4 linked regions of the Drosophila melanogaster genome follow. The protein of the gene in region 4 purifies or fractionates together with the protein of the main gene of each other region. This does not show direct contact. Each region holds a gene or a part of one and is shown on either strand. Other genes may lie near its edges. The genes, in order: Mf, CG6330, Idh3g and TpnC4.

Region 1 (4,909 bases), on a different chromosome or scaffold from region 4:
ATGGGCGGACTTCAGGGGGCTGGGTGTTCGGATTTGGGTGCTTGGGGCTTTTGCCAGTGTGTGAGTGTGTGGAAATTCGGAAAATCGGAAAAGAGAACTTCGGTTTCCGCGCACCGAGGGCCGCCACAGTCATTTGATCCCAGAGCACGCACCGAAAAAAAAAATTGAGTCAAAAATTCCGCTTATATACCTGACTTGATATATAGCGCCTGTGTGTGTTGCCTATATTATTGTCTTCATTTTTTTTATTTTTTTTGTTCATTTTTGAGGCCTTTTGCCAAAATCAACACGACCGAGGCGAAACGAAACGATACGAAACGAAAATTTTCATTGACGTAATTGTATTTGGCCGTTTGGCGCTGTCCATTTTTATTTTTAAATTTATGAAATCATAGCGCTCGCACCAGTTTTCATCTCAAATGAAACGCATAAAAATATGGCGGTTTTGAGATATTCAAGGTGTTGTCAAAAGCTTCAATAGCAGGCAGTGGCGAGATTGCAGTTGTAAGATGATTGTAATGACTCGACTGATTGACTGACTGATTGACTGACTGACTGACTGATTGATGGATGGCGCATCGAAGCGAAGCAGAAAGGCTGAAAGAACTTGTGGCGTTCGGATGGACCGAAGCTTATGTAACCTTGCAAATAACAATCAGGTGATTGCCTTTTTTAATTTTAAATTTTAATTAAAATTTTAAACGTTTTTTTCTAAAAAACTAGATTGAAAGCATTGACATAAACTTTTGAACCTGAATTTCATCTATGTTACTATTCCAGTTTCAAGAATGTTAAAAATATCTTTTAGTTTCATGGCGGATAATTTGTTATGTAAACAATCATAATCATTTATCTATATTATTTGAAATATACTTTAAATGGTAATAACAGGATATCTTAGTTCAATATCCACATTTGCAAGGCCACCGATTTCGGAAGCATTAAGATACAGATACTCGGCTGTGTGAAGCAGTTAGGCGGGAATCGGCTGTAGATAGTACAGTATGTGGTCCGTATATGGTACCAACTTACTTGTTCGGCTGTAGTGATGATCGTAGATGGCACGGGGCGAGTAGCCGTAGGTGTCGCGGCTCACTGGCAGATATCTGTAGCCAGAGGACTGGACGCGCTCATTGGCGGTGGCGGGCTCGTCATAGATGCTCCTGTAGGAGGGCGAGTCCAGGTAGGAGCTGTAGGGACGAGAGGCACGGGGCGCCTCGTGGGCACGGATATCCTCGGAGCCTATAAATAGTTGTTTGGATAACGACGCGTTAGTTCATTGCTTTTCAAATATTTCGGCTATTCTATTCTCACTATTTGGCTCAATGCCAGCGCTGCAGAAATGTATGATTTCTATTCGGTTTCTATCATAGATGCGCCCCCTGTATGTGTATCCTATATTTTAGCCTATTCTTTGTTTAAGGCCTGAGCATATATATTTTACAAATTTCTCTCTATATATTCGAATATACTATGGCGAAAAGCTTTCCCAGCAGAGCGTGTCTAAGTATATAGCTTGGCTGATATGACACCTGCCAAAATAAATAGACTATACACATATAGGCTAAGCTATTTGTGTTGCTCACTGGCGACCAGAGTTTAATAATATCACTTTTGAGTGTCCCTTAATCATATCGAAATGGGAACACTTCGAGTTAATCTTCAATTGTTTTTTGAATTATTTTGGAACTATGCAAACTCCCTACTATTGTGACTAAGCAATCAATAGTAGTTTTGAATAACTATCCTATCTTTTAATGTAATTTTTGAGCTTATTTAGTGAATGCTTACCCTTCAGGGACCTGATGTAGGACTGCCAGAATTTCGCCTTCTTGCTGGGGCTCTCATTGCGCCCAATCATTTCCAAGTGGTTTTTGAACATTTTGATCGATTTGTTTTGTTCTGTTCACGAAAAAATCGTTGAACTCGTTCGCTGTAATAAAGTTGGGAAGAGAGATGGCTTAGCAATTTTCCAATGTGTTTCAAATTTCCTTTCCGCCTATTTTATTTTATTTTTTTTTTTTGTCCGTTTTCAATTTAATCTATTTCCCGGGAAATGCCAGGCAGCACGCACGAATTCGAATCGCTTGTCTCTCGATTGATGGGATGTTTTCTCAGTTGAATTTTTTGCTTTCGCGTTGAAAGTCTCTCGGTTCGAAAATAAACAGACTGTGTGCCACTTTAGAGCAGTGCAAAGTTTATAAAACATATACATAAAATCTAATATAATACCGCGATCGGGCAACAGCAGCTAACGCAAGATCAATCTCACTAAAAATAAATATATTTCGGTTCGGTTTTTGTGATTTTTCATGTATCGTGGTATTCTCCTGGTTGCTCGAATATAAAAATATTTTTTTGTTGCATAGCAAATTTCACACTTCTGAGTATGAGAACAAATATTCTAGGTGTCGTCAGTGTGTGCGTGTAAATGGGTGAGTGGATGTAAGTGTATCTGTGTGTAAGCTGCAGCTAAATTGGGTTTTATTTTTAAATGTCCTTGAGTTGAAATCGTTCTGTTATTCTGGCTTTTAGCGGAATTTACTTAAGTATCGAAGAAGTGTGCAAAGTCTAAGAACAATTTAGTTGAAGTATGTTTAAAATAGGCCTTTATTATCCATTAAACTAAATTAATTTTGAATTTAATTCAATGTGGGATTTTTGTTTTTTATATTTCACTGCACAAACTCTTGATGAGCTCCAACACTTCGGTATCAAATGTCATTGAGTACGATCTCTCTTATATAATTATAGTCAATGTCTTTTCGCTATGGAACATATCGGATCATTCATAATGCGATCATAATTCCATAATTATTTCACCAGTTAATTGTTCGTCTCCACATTCAGATGTGATGGTGCACTTTATTTAATTTGATTTTATTGTTTTTCATTTCGTTTATAATTATTTAATTTACTATTCAGTTGTATGTTGTTTAATATGTTTCGGGTTCGCTTACAATTTAAATTTACTCCTAAAAAATAGCGATCTATCCTCAACGAAGAATTTTTTCAAACTGCAAACCCCAAGAAAATTCGCCTCACCAATTTTCCTCGTTTCAGAATTTTGCCATTCCGTTTCGGCACCAAAAGCACGGCGCATTCCTTTACGGCGTAGGTTGCTCTATCCGTGAGCGATTTTCATCGCATCTGTGTGGCAAAGCTCCGGAGATTGGTTATGGGAAAGCTTTCCCACCACATTCTGATAGATCGTGTGGTGGCACCCACTCATTGTTTGCAACGATTCAATACCGAAATCGCGATGACGCTGGCGATGATCATAAAAAGAAAGCCAGCCAAGTCATACCACACATACACAATACATATGAGCCCATATTTCTTTCAGAAAATCCCACACCCTATTTTCTGTTTTTGTTTTTCCTATGGTTTTTCATAATTTTAACATATTCTTTGAATGTTTCAAGGGAAAGGCGTCACTTGTGGTATTGAATTGATCAGTGAACTATAAGCTCTAACTAATACATTACAATATTTGGTTTTTTGTAACTAACTAATTCAAAATGTGGTTAGAGGCCGATGGAATTTTTGCCATAAAAGCATTTAAATTCCGTTTATTTGTTTATGTTTTCTTTTGGCTTTGGCATTAGCTATAATTTAGTTTCCTGATAATGGAAAAATCATTTCCAGCAACATGCCCACACAGGTAAATAAACAAAACTGGTCCAGATACATTTAACCAAATAATAGATACTTTAAGCACACAATATATTATTTATAATGAAATCTGTATGAATAGTTTGATATTTTCTAGCTTGTTATGTAAAATTTGCCGTTAATTGATTATTTAAAACATTAGTAACTCATTTTTTTCGATTATACCCTCCTGTAGGGTATATCTTTTTTGCTCACGTGCGACCCAATGATTGATAATCTAAACACAAATTTTCCAGGGAAATTCCTACGAAAACGAATAAACAAAGATGGGTAAAGCTTCCCCCATCATATACAATTACATCGAAACGAGTTGAAGGGCAGATCTGGGAGTACATATGTTTCTAATAATAGTAAATACATTCATGGAGATCATGTTGACCTTTTCAATCGTGCAGATCGCTTACAGAATTTCCTGCATGTGTTTTCTTTTTCCGCCGATAAACTCAAGGCCAAATGCACTTGCATCCAAATGTTCTTTTGACTTTGTTTGTTTAGCTTATATAAATCTTGTTTGTGAATTTTACCCTTAAACAGGCGGGCGGCGTCATTTAAACTTGAACTTGACTTTGAATGAACCGAATGCGGTTTGATGAACCAAATCGAAAATCAAATGAAAATGCACAAAAACTCACGGGAAATTGGGAAATACCTGGCAAAGGTTTTTCTTTCGGCCAATCAGTGATTTCGGTGATGTGATTCAACTTTTACTTTCTGGCACACTTTTTTGGCTTCACAGAACAATGAATTGAGCAACTTTTTATTTTACTTTCGTTTTTTTTTCAGGTTTTTCATTTTAATTTATTTTAGTTTATTGGCGCTTGATTGTGTTTGTTCCAACATCTTTGATGTTTTGCTCAAGGAGACACAAAAATTGGCTAGGAATTGCATACCCTTAAAAGGAATCTCAAATAAAATTTAGTTATTTTAAAAATATTTTAATTGGCCTAGCGGCTTACAAAATAATTATCTTAGAGAAATTTATGTCCCTTGGGAAATGGGGTCAAAATGTAAGCTCATTATTTAGAGGGCACATATGCAAGCAACGTCAAACAATTTGCTTTCGCAAATTCGCCATATTTTATATCGCAGTTTATACCCAAATTAATTGCAAACTGCATTTAATTTCAGATGAGGAGAGCAGACATTTAGCTGTCAGAAAGTCAAATGCACTGTGAATGCATATAAATTATATACATATTATTACTTTCGCACTTGGTGTGTAATAAATTGCTTT
Region 2 (5,427 bases), on a different chromosome or scaffold from region 4:
TAGCTTGCCATATCCTAAGACGTACTGGGTTACCCATAAATAGATCAAGTGCTTGAGCTCACAATGAAAAGACTAGATCCATGGCAGTGACATTTGTTGCTGCCAGTGACAGTCAAGCTTACCCATGGTAACCAACCAAGTGGAATGACCCAAAGAAACGACTTGAAATGGCCACGATTGCGTACTCATCTCAAATTACAAAGGGTACCTCAAGAAGCACTTTAGCGATGATATGACGAAAACAAACTCGAATATCGTTATTGAACCACTTTTCATGATTTGTGTTGGTTAATGAGTTTTCTTTATTTCACTGCCCATTCAAACGAATATCACAGCAAGTCTCGCATAGTTTTGGCTTATATAAACAACGATTTTTATTTGGCTTTGCAGCTGGCAAAGTCCATCAATGGTAGTTACGGGGAATCGGCCAAGTTAATTACGAGTATGGCCATTAAGTGAATTCCACCGCTGCCGCACTCTGCTCACCGCCAAAATGCGACCTCAAAAACCAAATTGTGAGCCGCGTCACGTACATAGAAGCCAACCTCTCTTTCTATTGCAATCGCGCTGTCTCTCTCTGTCTCTGTTATTACTTGCCTCCCTGTCTCTGTCTGGTTCTCTTTCCCTCTTGTGAATTGCTATGCCAACATAGCCGAGCCCCCTTTTCGACTGCTTTTGACTGAGCTTTGTTTTTGCCTTTTGCTCTTTTCTTTTTTTTAATACCTGGTACTTGCGCGTTTGTCGGGTATATTGCACTATTGTAGCACCACAAGACGTTGTACTATATATGCGTATATATAATAATAATATATGCATATATAATATATAAATAAATTTAGATGTCAACAGTTTAAAAATCGTTTTTGTAATGTATGTAAAAGGTACAAGTTATCTTATAGCCTTACCCGTTTTTATTTATTTTTCTTTCTGTTTGTTTAAGTTCCCTCTTTTCTTTGCTGATTGTTTCGCTTTCTGCTTGCCAGTGTGAGTGCAGGAGTAACTGTGTGTGGGCAATGAGCTCCTCTTTCGTTTGTCTTTCGCTGTCGTCTGTTTATGTATATTTAATGGCCTGACTTCGAAATTAAAGCCACCGACATCGGATGACGCACTGGTGACTGGGCCTACAATAGTGGTAGTTGCGCTGCTCACATTCTTGTCCATGGCGAAATATTTCTTTTTGTAGAGTTACTTTGAGTTACGATCACAGGGTGCCTAGTTTCATGCGAATAGTTGCCAATTGTGGGCAACATTAAAAATAAATTAACCGAATTGGTCTTATTTGCATCTAATTTGCAAATATCAGAGTTGAAGAATGTGTAGCGAAATAGGTATCTCAAAAACCCGTTTAAAATATACAAAACCAAAAATTCCAAGCCAATTTGCATGAATTTAAAGTTGAAATGTTATACTAATGATTCGGCTAATTGGACCTGATCGAACACCCTGTTCATACAGCGAATAAAGCAGCGAAATTGCAATAATTGGATTACGCAAATCCGTTATGCTCGGCTGCAATTTCGCCTCAAGGCTCGTGGCCAATTGCACTTGATTAGTGATGCATAAGTCGCTCTGAACTGATAACAATCTGTATCTATGTATGTATGTATGCCATTCTATAGAGGTTTCTATTACACGACCATACAGTGTGCAATATATTTTCATTTCCACTATCAAATTGCGCAGCATAACTTCCGATTCGCCGAGAAGATTGTCTTATCTACACAGCTCAGCAGAAGCGGCCTATATAAAGGCCGGCGAAACGCAAGAAATTTTTTCAGTCTCGCTCGAAGCGTTGACGTGTCTACACGAGTAACTAGTTTTGTTTTGGCTCGCTGGCTGCTCCTTCGTCTGGTAGTTGGTAGTTCGTTTGTGAGTTAAAGGACATTCGAGAGGTGACATCATGCCGCCCACCATAACCGATAATCAGACGCACGACTTTAAGGCCCACTACGATTGCGCCCACAGGTCCTCGCTGCAGGACGACGAGACGGACGATGCGTACGTGAAAAGGATAACGCGGTAAGGATGCTGAAACCGGTTTTTGGTCCTGCAGCTGCTTCTTAAGTCAGCCGGGGGTTGTTTCATTTGGCGCGAGAAAGTTGCTCTGGAAATTTCTCTGTTTGCTAGCAACAAATAACAGCCGTTTTCTATTGAAAAATGAAAACAAATGCAAATCAAAATCCATCTGCAATGCAGTCTATAGTTTGCCTGATGTCAAATCGCTGTGTTGGCACAAAACCAGCTCTTCATCTGAGCAAAGAACGCCAATGGAAAACAGAACGCTTGGCCAGTTGGCACAATATTTGCACAGACCGGTGGGTGTGACGCCTACTCGATTACCCTGTATTCATTTCAAAGATCACTTTTCATCCTATCCGATTTCCGAGCTCATCAAATCATAATTTATGCTTCAATCGGATGTTTGCCGGAGTGCTTACGAAATATATTCACTTCGCGCTTATCAATCAAGGTCAAGACTACACGGGGTTTTCATTTGATTATGCTAGAGTCATAGACATTTTGCTTTTTGTTTTGCTCACACTTCTAACATGTTTTTTTTCCGACTCCCCGTTTGACGCACTTGATAATGATATTGGTTGGGTATTGGTGCTCTCTAGACCCCCTACATCGCAAGGGGGGTCTCTATAAATAAAGTCACTAATACACGAATCAATTCTGATCCAAATATTGATTAGAAATACGAAATTTGAATCTGTCATTTTGTGGCCATTAAATACTCGAATAGTGCTTACTCACGATTGTGTGACAAAATTGTGTGTATAAGTAATGTATATTTCATAAAAATTAGCTCATAACAATGTGTTTTTGCTAAGCATTACCTAAAAAATAAATAATTATTCCAGCGATGACGAATTTCTTCCTGCCCATCCCAACTGATTACACTTTTGGGGGGCTTGTTCGGCCACCGATTTTCTAGGAAACACTTAGATAAACTTATCTTTTATCAGAAAACGAGCATTTTTAAGTGTGATTTACTTCTGACAGCTGAAAGTAATTAACTCATTCATTTCTTGGCCTGAAGTGGGCGTTTATTTATGGCCCCCGCTGGCGGCGAATAGAATTTAATCCTCATTAATTCGTTTTGCATTCGCTTTAATTGCAGGTACTCCGATGGAACCGTCAAATTGCGCAACTCGAACATTGAGCTCATGGACCAGGATATCCTCTATCACCTGGCCTTGGGCAGCGAGAGCCACGACCTGCAGGAGATGTTTGGCGACGTTAAGGTGAGTGGTCTCTTGAATTATTCATAGTCTGAGGCGGTTAAAGACTAGACCCAGACCTAGACCTTGATTGTTATCAAATCAAGTGGGGCACAAGCGAAACGAGTTCATTAGCTGTTGCCAATTAAGCTAATTATATGCTTAGTCAGATTCATAAACTTAATAAATATATCAATGTGCTAATCTAGTACTGGTTCGATTTGCGATTTACAATTAAGGGTATGTTTTATATAAATAATTATATAGTCATAGATTGCAATACCAGCGGTATTAGTAATTTACAAATCTGAAACACAATGCCGGTTATTCCCCTTCTAAAAGCTCACTCAATTAATCCGTGTCTGTCTTTGACTTTCAGTTCGTTTGCATGGGCGGCACACCAAAGCGCATGGAGAATTTTGCCCATTTCATAATGAACGAGATTGGCTACAAGTTGCCAGCGGGCACCCAGCTGCAGGACATCAGCGCCTATTCGTATCGCTACTCCATGTACAAAGTGGGACCGGTGCTGTGCGTCAGCCATGGCATGGGTACGCCCTCGGTCAGCATCCTGATGCATGAGATGATCAAGCTGATGTACCACGCCAAGTGCAAGGATCCCGTCTTCATCAGGATAGGAACGTGCGGAGGAATTGGCGTCGACGGCGGCACCGTCATCATCACCGAAGATGCCCTCGATGGGCAGCTGAGGAACTCCCATGAGTTTGTAAGTCGTGGCTGAAATATCACCTCAAATGCGATAGATGACCCTAAACACTTGATTTGCAGACCATTCTCGGCAAGACCATCCATCGTCCTGCCAAGCTGGACAAAAAGCTGGCCCGTGAGCTAAAGTCCCTGGCCAGTCCCGATGATCCGTACGATACCATTATTGGCAAGACGCTGTGCACCAACGATTTCTACGAGGGCCAGGGTCGTTTGGACGGCGCATTCTGTGATTTCAGCGAGAACGAGAAGATGGCCTATCTGGAGAAGCTGCGCGAGAACGGCGTGGTCAACATCGAGATGGAGAGCACCATCTTTGCGGCCCTGACCCACCATGCCGGCATCAAGGCAGCGGTGGTGTGTGTCGCCCTGCTGAACCGCCTCAATGGGGATCAGGTCAACGCGCCCAAGGAGGTCATGAACGAGTGGCAAGCGGTGGGTGATCCCGACTAACTCCCCCTCTCAATGGAATGTAATTGAACATATGATTTTTCACCCAAACAGCGTCCGCAGATCCTCGTGTCGCGCTATATTCGCAAGGTCCTTACGCACAATGGACAGCTGAAGGCGCTATTCGGACACCAGGGATCCATCAAGTCACCCCGGCGCTTCAAGCTCGTCCAGCAGGAGTCTCAGGCCCACGAGTAAATGGGATCATGTGACCAGTTCCATCTCATTTCACCTTCTTACATTATATGTGCGCATCTCTCCAGTATACAATGATGTTTCAACATTCCCTAGTTTAGCTCTGATTAAGTTCCTAGCTTTATTTCTGTGTATATCGCCCACAACCTCATCGGATAATTTAAAACCGATCATATTGTACGTGCATATGTTCATATGTTACCACAATTTAATATATATATGTATATCAATAATATATAAAAATAGTATCACTGAGTGTGACGTTCAAAGGTTATCAGAAATAAACGCTTTTGAGATCACAAAACAAATAACGAATAATATAGAAGAATTATGAAATTGTTAATTGTTATGTTGCATATTTTAAATGGGGCTAATCTATTAAGCAAAGATTCAACAATACCAAACAAAACTAAATGCTACATTTCCATTTTATAAATTATTATATTATAATGTATTGAAATTCCTAAAGATTTGTTAAATGTACGTGTTGATTAGTGTTGCTACCGTACACTCGACTCTAAACCAAATCCAACAGCACTTAATCTTTCTCTGTCTAGTTATATCCAAATTAAATGAAAACAATACGATGAAGAACAAAATGCTGAAAATAACATCAATACAATTACGGATAGCACACGATAAAACCAAATATACAAGTTATATTGTAAAAAAACGAAATTTATGACAAATATTTCAACGGTATATTAAAAGAAATTGTAATTAAATTATACAAACCACTTAACGCGATTTCATTTTTTGGTGGCTAAAAGATCATACCAAAACAGTTATTTTTCCATTATTTATTTGCATTACATATGTATATATTTTTAAA
Region 3 (5,429 bases), on a different chromosome or scaffold from region 4:
TGGCATTTTCGTTCTGGCTGCACTGGTGCGTTATCGCCACAGTCTGTTTGTTTAAGTGGATGTACATTTGTTTAATTTATGCATTTGGGTGTACACAGGTCTACGCCATGTCACGTAGTCGCTGTCGGAATTCCTGGGATTGCCTAAAGAGCAGGAAGGCTCCGCGAAGTGGATACATCAATGTGGATGAGGAGGATTCCGATGTGCCCATGGACTGCGGAGATGAACTGGGAGATCAAAGGACTACTGCTACTCTCCTCACTGGTCGCCTCCACATTCAGGATGTCAGTGAGCTCGTGACAATGTCCCAATACAATCACAGCCCTTTTTCTTCCACAGGGAGCGAATAACGCCTCCAATGCCTAGTGAATCTCAAAAGTCTTCCATACACTTTATTGTCCACGTTGTCTTCAAACGGTGGTTGTCATCGGTTTAGTTACTACTGCAAACTACGTGCCTCTACTACAAGTACAACGAAAATAACCCTAATTTTAATGATCCGTACTGGTGGCGCCAAGGATTCGCGTCGTCAGGTCGTAGAAGCCAAAGAAGAATGCACCGCCCAGTGTGATCCACAGCACACGCGGCACAAAGCCAGCAAACAGACTGAAAAGTAACATCGAAGTACATTAATAAATGTAATAAATAGTTTTGTAAAGTTAATTTGTGTTTAAATATTAGGACCAGCTTGAGTTGCGTCTAATATGGAAATAATTACCCGCTGAAGCCTCGCTCCAGGTAAATGCCATGCAAAATTCTTCGGGCACTGCGACGTCGGTTGAGACTCTCCCTTTCAGCCAGCATAATTCGGGTTTTGACCACATCGAGCGGCGTAGTTAATCCCGCTGAAATGCCTCCAGCGACAGCTCCACAAAGAGCCACCGAAAAAGGAGTGGAATCGAAGCCGGTCAGGGGAGTCCATTGCAGCTTAAAGTACTCCCAGAGCGGAAACTGTATCAGACTAAATGGAATCTCCCGCATGATAGTGGAACCAAATCCCCTGTACAGACCACGTTTCAATCCCTCAGTGCGATAGGCACGCAGTAGAATTTGCAGGCCGGACTGTTTGTTGCCCTGCAATGTTTGGGAGCGTTGCTTGGCAATCTCCACGGGAACTCGGATCAAGCATGCCAACTATTGGATACAGAGATTCTTCAGATCTAAATACGAGGTGCTCAGTTTTATATGAAATCCTACCACTTCTGCTGCTGAAGCCGCTGCCATGTGAACATAGGGTGAATCTTTGGTTTGGGTGACCGAACTAAGGAACTGCTTTCCGCACTCGTAGGTGCAGAAAAACAGGGCCGCCGTGGGAGCACTTCCTGCAGCCGCAGGAGCGAGTCCTTTGTAGATGCCCCTGAATCCTCCTGCCCGCCAAAAGCCCAGCTCGCTTTGCAGTCGGGTCTTCACTGTATCTATGGGAAACAGCGCTATGTCCACTACCATTCCAGCCACTCCTCCTGCCTAAAACTAATTATTTAAGAACTAACTTTTCATTTAATTTTCATCTACTTACAACAAGTGCATGGAAAAATTTTAATTTATTGACCGGCTCTTGCATTTTGATTGCCACGGACCCCGCGGCCGATTCCAGACCCAATTCCGCTGCCATGTCCTAGAAATGATGTTGGGGCATCCACTTTAAGTCATCCCGTCGGAGTATTAACTAAAGTTGTTTTAGTAAACAAAAACATAAAATGTGGTTGTTAACGTAACAGTCAGCTGCTTTTTGCTGATCTGGCAGGTCTGCAGATAACAGCTGCTTGGTGTAGAGTTGCCAAGATGCTGAAACCATAACAAATAAATATATTCTATGTAAGATATATATTATTTGGTCAAAAGTGTTACTTAAAAAAAGGATGGTATTGAAATGTTAGCTTTTTCACAAAAACACATAATTATAATACATTTTTTTTACACCAAAGTAATTATTTTAAAACCAATACCATTTACTTGACAACCCTGAAAAGCCGTGGTTCTGGGCAAGAGCCAGCAGCACCGTTTTGGCCAAGTGGAATAAAATTGGCTGTGATTTAACTGATAGTAGAATACCAACTGCAGCGGTAGAAAACAATAATCCAAGGATCAAATCATGGCCCTTCGCTTGACCCAGAGATTGCTGCAGACGCAGACGCCGTTCCTCACTCGCGTAAGTTTTCTCGGCCGGAAAATTGGCCCACAAAGGCAAATTACATAATGCGCGCCTGCCAGATCCTATTGATCGTACTTATCGATTCGAATTGTAGGGCTATCCCTTGCTGGTGACCAAGGAGAAGACCGAGGATGTGGCCCACACCAAATCGGCGCTGCAGAAGAAAGTCACGGTGAGTGCAACCTCTGGAGCTCACCCCCAATTGAGGTTATAGCATCCGTATATATCTTCGTGAACAGGGCACCGATATTCCCTCGGCACAGTACGGAGGTCGTCATGCCGTCACCATGCTGCCGGGCGGCGGCATTGGTCCTGAACTGATGGGCTATGTGCGCGAGATCTTCCGGTATTGCGGTGCACCCATCGATTTCGAGGTGATCGACATCGATCCCTCCACCGAGGGCAACGATGATCTGGACTATGCCATCACATCGATTAAGAGGAACGGAGTGGCACTCAAGGGCAACATCGAGACCAAGTCCCAATCCTTGACCGAAGTCTCCCGCAACGTGGCCATCCGTAACGAGCTGGATCTGTACGTCAATGTGGTGCACTGCAAGTCGTATCCGGGCATTCCGGCCCGCCATCACGACATTGACGTGGTGCTCATCCGCCAAAACACCGATGGCGAGTACGCCATGTTGGAACATGAGTCTGTGCCCGGAATTGTGGAGAGCATGAAAGTGGTGACCGTCGAGAATGCCGAGCGTGTGGCCCGCTACGCCTTTGAGTTCGCCCGCCAAAACAATCGCAAGAAGGTTACCACCATTCACAAGGCCAACATCATGAAGCTGTCCGATGGTCTCTTCCTGGAGGTTGCCAACCGTGTGCACAAGGACTATCCCGAACTGGAGCACAACAACATGATTATCGACAACACCTGCATGCAGTCCGTGTCGAATCCTCACCAGTTCGACGTGATGAACATGACCAATCTGTACGGCACCATCGTGTCCAATGTTCTTTGCGGTTTGATGGGCGGAGCTGGCCTCATATCCGGCAGGAACTACGGTGACCATGTAAGTCTCTTTCTCTTTTGCTTAACCCATAGTCTTTCAGTTTTGTCATATAATTTTAGTACGCCATCTTTGAGCCTGGCACCCGTAACACCGGAACCGCCATTGCCGGCAAGAATATCGCCAACCCTGTGGCCATGATCAGTGCCAGTATCGATATGTTGAACCATCTGGGCCACAAGGAGCACGCCAATGTCATTCAGGAGGCCGTCTACCAGACCATTGTCAACGATGCCATTCGCACGCCAGGTGATCACGTCTCTCGTAGTTATTCAATAAACAGAATCACCTTTATCATCTAAATCTCTTACAGATATTGGCGGCACCAACTCCAGTACCGATGTGGTTGAGAATATACTCAAGATCTTGAGTGCCAAGCGCGTGAATTGGTAAAATAATCGTCTGCATTTAGAGTAGTTCTATATGTTCTTTTATTTCGCTGTCACAACCAAGTGTTGTATTTTCTATTAAGTTTTAAGCAAACAAACATCTATCGCTTGTCCCCTTTTACTTCACTGTCGCGATGGGCCCAGCGTAGGCGGGCCTTCTTGTATTATAATTTCATGCTGTTATTGTATTATTTTAATTACTTACTGATTACTTCAGCAGAACTGTAAGTGTTATTGCCGAATTGGCCTAACTGTGTCCTAACCAACCAGCACACCACAGACTTCACTTAATCACTAACTTTTTGGTTGCCTTATATCTTTTAGTTTTAAGTACTTCTTCTTGGGTGACACATGCTCGATTGTCACCTATAAGAGGCTACTTAAAATTTGTTTATATAAATTGGACTTATGTTTAGCAATTGCTTCGTTGAACTATTTTCTATTGTATATTTGTCCTAAGTAGTGCCCCAGTAGAACACACTACCACACACATTCAGTACACACAAGTATGTAGTATTTTCGTTTTGAACGTGTAACCAAATTGTCCTTGTGCAGCTCTAATGAACAAAATTATTCTGTTTTTTCTCCTCTCCCTGAAAATCCAAAAACGCTTTACCGCTCCGCAGGCCACATGGAAACTATTTTAGCCAAATTTAGGCACTATCGCACTACCGAATTCAACCAACTGCTAACAAATTCAGCAAGATAAACCAAATCGAACCAAGTCTAATACAAAAAAAAAAAAAGTCAAAATTTTATTAACCCCACAACTAAGCCAATTTGAGACATCTTGTACCCCAAAGCCAATGCATTCAGCGTTAATGTGATGCCCAGAAAAATCGGTATAATCAAATCGAGGTTGAATTATTCCGCTGCTTAACCCAAACAAAATATGTTACCCCGGCTAAATGTCCATTGTGTGTTCATTCGATGTCCAAGTGTGATAATTCAGGTAATACAAACTCCAAATATTTTTTAGCTTCATTTATCCCCAGGTTCGATTGATAAGATTCTAATCCAGTTTTATCTTATATTCCACAGATTTTCTTGCCGGCCCTATCCAATGTTTTTGCACTCTGAATCTTTCTTTTAAACTCCCTACTGAAAGCTGTATATTTTCTTTTATTTTACTTAATTTCCAAAATACCCTAAGGCAACAGTTCATGAACAACAAGAATAACACACTTTGAGCTCTTCAAAAGCCAAGCAAGTTCCACAAGTAGTCAATCAAAGCGATATTAAATTGTAAATTTTCCAAAAGATTTGTAATATTGAAAAGTTGATTCAAACAAAATGTATTATTCTGTTCGAATATTTATTAGTAAAGGAAAAAGTAAAAAAGACACTGTAACTATTATGTTTTGGATTCGGGCGGTTAAGGCTATGGAATTTGCACTATATTTTAAAATGATCCAGAAGCGAATTTGATATTTTGCCTTATATTTTGAAATTTGTTGATGACTTGGGTCCAAATACCTCTTGTACACTTCCTACTCAAAGTATTCTATATACTTTCATCACCATAGGCACGTTTGTCCCACTTGCACACTTAATAAGAAGGCACAGGATCCACTTCGGTCAGTTTTATCAGAATTACTTCTTTGTTTATTAAACCTTAAAAAAGAGCGACAAATCCAGTAACCACAAGTAGCGAATGGGCAGCTTAGAAACGCAGCTTCTGGAAGAACCACTTGTTCTTGCCCTCCTTGTAGACGGACTCGAACTTGACGCGGGTCTGGAAGCGGTGCGTCTTGCGCTTTACGGGATCCTTCAGGTCCTTGGGCGACAGCTTCTCAAAGCTGATGTCGTGCGCCGTGTAGCGGGTGGGCATCAGATGATTGTAGTTCAGGCTCTTCAGGAAGGGCTTGACCT
Region 4 (6,778 bases):
GATATTGGCAGTAAAAAAGTGTGGGCGTTGAAGTTTTGCGCTGTTTGTGGGCAAAAGACATTGAAAAGAACTCAACAATTTTTCATATGTGTGCGCCGGGCAGTTTGGGACTACAAACCCCGAAACGGGGTTGGCAAGCATTTTAAATTAAAATAATACTGCTTAAAATGTAATGCTTAACCACAACTCTATATGGACAGACAAACGAACATGGCCAAATCGACTTTGCTTGTGATCCTGATCACGAATGTATATACTCTATAGAATCGAAAACGCGTGAAATACTGATTACATTATATAGGATCAGGGGACAAACTGCCCTTCCGCTCATCTGCAGGCGTATTTAAGATCAGATCTGTTGTCTTTCCTAGCAGTTTTTCGGTTAATATTTTCTTGAGGTGTAAGATGACGGACCATTGCCAAATAATCACACTTTGGAGCTCCAGCAGAACTTGAACTGTAATACTCCATTCAAATTGCTAATTGTACATCGCTATATATGTACCTACCTATACGTAGCTTTTAGGGCCATTGGAAAAGAGTGCTTAGGCACATGCATCATTGGCCCACTTGTGGGTTGTAACTTTGTCAATGTGAGAGACGCCACGTAAATCAAGTTTCGGAGCGACAAGTCATAACGGTCATAGCGTCAACGTAAGCCTAAAAAGCCCAGCCATTGGCTATTTCACCGTATAAGACAGAAATTCGTTTTCACAGACCGTCCAACCATCAATAATTAAAAGCCATGATGGAACTATTGTCTTTCACTGGGCGTCTTCCTTGTAGAATGCGACAGTGCCTGCCTTGGGAACGATTCTATAGGCCCAGCAGTCCCCTCCATGTCATCTGCTACGAGATGTAGGCTGTGTACCACATTATTCTAACGTGTGGGCGTGGCAGTTTTGGGCGGCTTGAGGGCGTTAGCGTGAGTCAACAAACTAGCGCTGCGTCTATGTCTCTGGAATGGTAATCTCGACAGACGGAAAGGGTCAGATCGACTCGGCTATTGATCCTGATCAAGAATATATACATACATACATTATATGGTCGGAAACGCTACTTTTCAGCGAAACTAGCACTTTTACTTTACGAGTAACGGGTATAACAAACAATGAGATCACACATTTTTGAAAGTGTGAAGGTAAAATTGGTTTCGTGAAGTACTTTATCTACGATAAAATCATATTAATTAACAACTTTCACTAAATTAATAAAATATAAATAGCTTTCACCCCATTTTGACACTACGTGATGAATGCACCAACTTCGGTAAAATATATGCAATGGTACATTTTGATACTCATCAATTATCGCGCATTTCTCTTGATTAGGTAGATTAGGAAGAAACAGTAACAGGAAAGGAAGCTTGATTCAGTAAGTAAAGATATCTTAAAGATATAAATATTACTGTGCAACGAGGAACGCTTAAAAATATAAGTTCCGCGTAATATTTATGGTTGAACTGTCAAAGAAAATGTTTGTTATTTCCCGTATAGATTAAGTGTTATGGTAAATCATTAATTTAAGAAATATGTTGCCTTTATGGTATCAAAAATACTTAAATTTCTAATTTTATATAAACTAAAAAATAAAAATTTTTAATTGGATTATTGCTTTTACAATTTAAGGAATAAAAGTTTCGGCATAAAGACCACCCTTACTCTTCGAGCGCTTCTTGCTCTTATTTCCTTATCATCGATTAGGATGAAAATTTAGCCGTTTGTATACAGATGTAGTCGCTTACATTTTTATTGTTAGCGTTCGTTCGGAAAAGCTTTGGCATTTTCCATTGCCGATGAACTTAGCTAACATAAAACACAAATCGAATTGTTTAAAAGCTTGGTGATAATTGAAAGTAGCGTACCCTGTTTCTTTAGCTCCTCTTCTGGGACACTTTTTAGATTATCAAAAATATCGTATAGTAATAGTAATATAGTATTTTTATATTATATTTAAAGGGTTTTCCTAAACCTTAGCGGTGTAATTTGATTTAACAAAAAAAAACTCTTTAAAATGGTAAGTTACGATATTATAACTTTGATTAAACTAAAAATTAATGGAGCACATTCTGAATTTTTTATATAAAATTTACTGTTGACTAAATATAAATATAAATATAATTATTTACCCTTGCTATGAAAAAACACAATTTATATAAATATAAATTCCACAAGCGATAAAGTATAAAGTATTAAGTTTGTAAAGTGGTTGGAAATAAGCTGTCAAGGGAAAGTGATTTTTGATATATTTTTTTTTTTGATATAGATAGTGTCTATCTACGTATGAGACAAATAGGAACTTAATTGTCATCACTGCCGTTAATCTGCAGATCATTTTCAAAACATTAAAATGTAGACGACAACGTGCGCTATGTGGATTTTAATAACCAGACAGTGAAGAAGATATTACCTTAAAATTTTTTAATTTATCATTAACTTAGTATTTATTGCAATAACACCCGCTACCCGTTACTCGTAGAGTAAAAGGGTATACTCTATTCGTTAAAAAGTATGTAACTTGCAGAAGGAAGCGATTTCTACCACATAAAGCATAGACATACATTCTTTATCAGGAACAATAGCCGAGTCGATCTAGCCATACATATAAGGGATATATTGTTCTACATCGCTAAAGTAGAGTCTTCGAACATTTATGGTAAATCAGTTGCATACGGACAGACGGGCTACCGAGCAAAAGTTGACTTCGTTACAAAAAATGCACATAAGAAAACGTACCCTTTTTGTGCATGAAAGACATGCATCTGTATGCAATATATTTTTGGAAATACAACATACCCGTCCACCAAACGAGTATAATTATGACATTACTCTTGTAGACACCAGGCTGACATGAACATATAGTTCATTATCTTAAAGATTTTATTATATATCCATACTTCTTTCAGGCCGATGGAGAATACGACAAGGAACAATTGAGAAGTAGTATAAAATTAAACTTTTATTTACTATTTAAAAAACGACGTATTAGTCCTTAGGAACGCCTTCAAGGCTTTCGACCACGACGGTGCAGGATCGATCGAACATGCTGATGTATCTAGCATTCTTGAAATTTTGGGTCAGAAATTAGAACCACCTGCGGTAAAGGCCCTTATTAAAGAGGTCGATAAAGGAACAACTGGTAAATTGGATTTTAGCCAGTTCTGCAAACTGGCAGCTCGCTTTATTGAAGTTGAGGAAGATGTGGGAGCTCTTCAAAATGAGTTAAAAGAGGCCTTCCGTGTATATGATAAAGAGGGGAAAGGATACCTGACAGTTGCAACACTAAGAGGCATTCTTCACGAATTGGACGATAAGCTTTCTAACCAAGACTTAGATATGATTATAGAAGAAATTGATGCGGATGGATCCGGTACGGTTGATTTTGACGGTAAGTAGTTTAATATAATTAATCAAACATTCAATAATAACGTTTTCATTGCAGAATTCATGCAAGTTATGACAGGTAATACATGATACCCTTAAACAAATATTAGTTCCACCTATGTAAAAAAACACATTCAAACAAAACAATATTATTCTGACCTTCTTTACGGTTTGCCGTTTAAGGGTGAAGTGACGATACCACCCACGTGCAAAAAATAATCAACTTGTATGACTACAATTGATATTGCATATATTGCATAAATTATAAATTCATAATATAAAATTTACGCAAACGGCGCCCGTTTTTCTAAAATAATTCCTGTCCACCAAAACATTTTCTATTAAACGATTTATTATCGTATTGCCTTGTAAGGATGTGTTTTTTTTTTATACTTGGTTTTTAATCGTCAACATAACGGCATAAGCAACATCAGTTATGACCGTAAAATGTTGCTTATGCCGTTAGACGATTAAAAACTAAGTGTGCTAAGGTCTCTATACCTAAGACAAGAGAGAAGACCACAGTCCAGTTATGAAATCCTAAAGAAAAATGAAAAAAAAAAATTGGGCGTGGCAGTTTGAGCGGCTTGTAGGCGTTGAAGTGCTGATGGCAAAAAGTTTTTTGGCAAATCGATAGAAATTGTCAAGCTTATTACAAATTTAAAAATATTATAACATATATTTTTTTTTTTTTGGGTATGCGTGCCACGCATATGCATGGCAATGGCTGGGATCCAACGTAGGGTCTTTTCTTTAAGCTTTTCCGGGTTTAAGGTTCTTAGGACCACGATTCCTGTGATCGATTCTGATCCATATGGGCATGTCCGAATGTATGTCCCTAAACATCTCCGCTTCTGGGGAGAATCCTCTGTTACATCCAATACCTCGTGTTTTTGTAGGGTTGCGTTAATCGCTGCTTTACCGTGCCACTTTTTATACAACATGCAAAATGCAACATTTGGTACAAAAGGAATCAATATTATTTACTGACGTGCCAAATGTTCATTGGCAAATAGGAATAGAGGGATGCATAACAAAAACCGGGTGTTGACTTGAGTGTTGATCACCTTACATTAAGAGATCAGTTGAACAAAGAGCGTAAAGTGAAACATCAATGAGAAAGAGTGAAAGTCAGTAAAGTATCAAACTGATCAAATCAAAGTAAACTGGCTTGTTGTGATCAGACTCAATATGGAGTTGGCTTGAGATTAAAGGGTAATGTCAAGGTCCATACAAAGAAGTAAAAAGTAAAGAAAGAAATGTAGACAAGGTTGGCGATGGTGAATGTCCGGTCCTTTAAAAACATCCACCATATCTGAGTTCGTGCCGAATAGCAAGTTAGATGTACCGAATGTTGAAGTTTGAAACAAGCCAGAAGAGCAAGTAGGCAGACAAAAACTGAGAGACTGTCGTTTATGATAATAAAATGACGTCGCAGAAGTATTTGTCTTCAAACAGAGCCCGTTTAGTTACATATATTTTTGACCAGAATTCATCTTCCAACACTGGAAACTCTTAGTGAAAGCACCTATCGATAGAATTGGAGGCAGATTGACTAAGAGAATAAGAACGGTACATAGTGTAAATAAACAACTGGAAGTTACGTAATAGGCAGCAAATTATGAAATTTCTTGGAACATTCCTTTTAGGTCCAGAGGGGGGGAGGGAAGCTGCTCCCCCTGCCCTACCCTGGCGACGCATTAATTGCTTTGTAAACTTCTATAGATTTGCTAAGAAAGTGTCAACATTTTTCGTTCCCCCTCCCACTAAATGAGTAATGAGTATCTGATAGTCCAGTAACTCGACTAGAAGGCAGATGACAAAATGACACCGATAAAAATTGGTAGAAAAAACATGATATTATAGAATGCTATAGTCCAGTGCCTCGACTATCAGATACACGTTACTCAGCTGATAAATTTAAAAACAATAAATATGCCTCCATATATGGATGTTATATATTTGCCGCCCGAATAAGCTACCGATTGGGCGTGGACAACATGTTTTTGGTATATTTTCAACACATTTAAGAAGTGTGTGTGTGGCGTTAGAGGCGCGACAAAATTGAATTTTATATATATATATTTTTTTATTATATATTTTATAAAATAAAATGTTATAAAATATCAACATATTTTTAAGACATAGATTAAGATTCCTGAGACATAGACGAAGTGCAAGGTTGTTTCTCAATTTTGCCACGCCTACTTTTACGCCCACAAGCAAATCAAAGCTGCCACGACCACACTTTTTAAAATGTTTTTATATTATTCATTTTTGTATACGTCTTATTAATTTCTATTGATATGCCAATACCCAATCTTCACAAATCTGCCACGCCCACACTTTTGAAAAATTTTTTGATTATACCAAACAATTTTGGACGCCCCTTCTAGCACCTATAAAACGACCAAAACTGTCACGCCCACCTTTTTTTAAATTTTTTAATATTTTTAATATATTATTCTCTATCTAATTCTATCGATATGCCAGAAAAATTATGAAAATTCCCATTTTCCCTTCCACTAGCTGAATAACGGGTATCTGATAGTCCGGTAACTCGACTATAGCATTCTCTCTTGTAATTTCAAATATTTCGTTCCTTATCCTTATATTTCGTTATATAAATATAAATATTTTTATAAACACTAAAACTTTTCTCTTCCAGGTTGACCCACATTGCTCTTTTTTGACATGCTGTGCAAAAGCTCAGATATGGCAGACAATGCAAAATCAAAAATACATAAAACAATAATAGCCATTAGTTTTGTGTCAAATATTATAAATAAAATTTGATTGAAATGTATTAGCATCATTTTTCTCTTATCTAATTTAAATATAAACAAATATCGGGCCAAAAGCAGATAAGGCCGATGTACGAACAGACGGATGAACATATGTGGTAAAGTAACAGGTGTGGCAAGGCTGTACTGTTTCCTCTTCTCCTTGCGTTCTTTGATGCTTAACTTATTTCATTTATTTTCAATGTATGGGAATAAAGCGACAAATTATCTGAGATTGGGAATAAATGTGTTAGAGCGTGACCGATAGTGCTGTTGCTGAACGTGGTTAAAGTGCGAAAGAGATACGAGAAAAGGAAATGAACCATGCTAGAGGCGAGAGCGTCAGTTGTTGGTTAGAAGCCAAAGCAGATAGAAGAACTCGTTGATACCTCAGCCTTACAAAATAGATTACATTTTACAGAAAAGATGTACAACAACACTCAAAATCCTTATGAGCCGATATCAAAAGTGGGATCTGTGCCGCACCAAAGACACTAGAATAGTGTCTTTGGCCGCACCCTGCGATTTCCGAGGGAACAGTGGCGTGCAGTTCTCGAAATGCAATACGGAATTTCGATGAACTTGCGAAAATCATGCAAGCATCGCCGTCAT

What was found.
Region 1: the proteins of TpnC4 (region 4) and Mf purify together in Drosophila melanogaster (affinity purification with mass spectrometry, with the first as the bait; one large-scale study listed by BioGRID). This does not show direct contact.
Region 2: the proteins of TpnC4 (region 4) and CG6330 purify together in Drosophila melanogaster (affinity purification with mass spectrometry, with the first as the bait; one large-scale study listed by BioGRID). This does not show direct contact.
Region 3: the proteins of TpnC4 (region 4) and Idh3g purify together in Drosophila melanogaster (affinity purification with mass spectrometry, with the first as the bait; one large-scale study listed by BioGRID). This does not show direct contact.

Annotation. Positions count from the first base shown.
Region 1 is NT_033777.3:15,177,248-15,182,156, forward strand, and holds the start of Mf (myofilin), read right to left. Parts: upstream 3,024-4,909; 5' UTR 2,961-3,023; intron 2,104-2,960; exon of another isoform or gene 2,075-2,103; intron 1,934-2,074; 5' UTR 1,883-1,933; coding exon 1,792-1,882; intron 1,243-1,791; coding exon 1,033-1,242; coding exon of another isoform or gene 974-1,032; exon of another isoform or gene 1-973.
Region 2 is NT_033777.3:26,949,596-26,955,022, reverse strand, and holds CG6330 (uncharacterized protein), read left to right. Parts: upstream 1-1,768; 5' UTR 1,769-1,900; coding exon 1,901-2,019; intron 2,020-3,124; coding exon 3,125-3,248; intron 3,249-3,603; coding exon 3,604-3,951; intron 3,952-4,013; coding exon 4,014-4,385; intron 4,386-4,454; coding exon 4,455-4,598; 3' UTR 4,599-4,900; downstream 4,901-5,427.
Region 3 is NT_033777.3:25,678,875-25,684,303, forward strand, and holds Idh3g (isocitrate dehydrogenase (NAD(+)) 3 non-catalytic subunit gamma), read left to right. Parts: upstream 1-1,970; 5' UTR 1,971-2,092; coding exon 2,093-2,149; intron 2,150-2,246; coding exon 2,247-2,324; intron 2,325-2,391; coding exon 2,392-3,171; intron 3,172-3,230; coding exon 3,231-3,417; intron 3,418-3,481; coding exon 3,482-3,557; coding exon of another isoform or gene 3,558-3,561; exon of another isoform or gene 3,562-3,999; intron 4,000-4,183; coding exon 4,184-4,214; 3' UTR 4,215-4,509; intron 4,510-4,598; coding exon of another isoform or gene 4,599-4,599; 3' UTR 4,600-4,906; downstream 4,907-5,429. Other genes in the region: CG5039 (uncharacterized protein), read left to right, coding at 1-25, 99-284, 340-366; CG4743 (uncharacterized protein), read right to left, coding at 492-606, 719-1,134, 1,198-1,464, 1,517-1,612; RpL27 (ribosomal protein L27), read right to left, coding at 5,221-5,429.
Region 4 is NT_033778.4:5,502,922-5,509,699, reverse strand, and holds TpnC4 (troponin C isoform 4), read left to right. Parts: upstream 1-1,833; 5' UTR 1,834-2,013; coding exon 2,014-2,016; intron 2,017-2,905; coding exon 2,906-2,939; intron 2,940-2,988; coding exon 2,989-3,387; intron 3,388-3,441; coding exon 3,442-3,462; intron 3,463-6,051; coding exon 6,052-6,056; 3' UTR 6,057-6,263; downstream 6,264-6,778.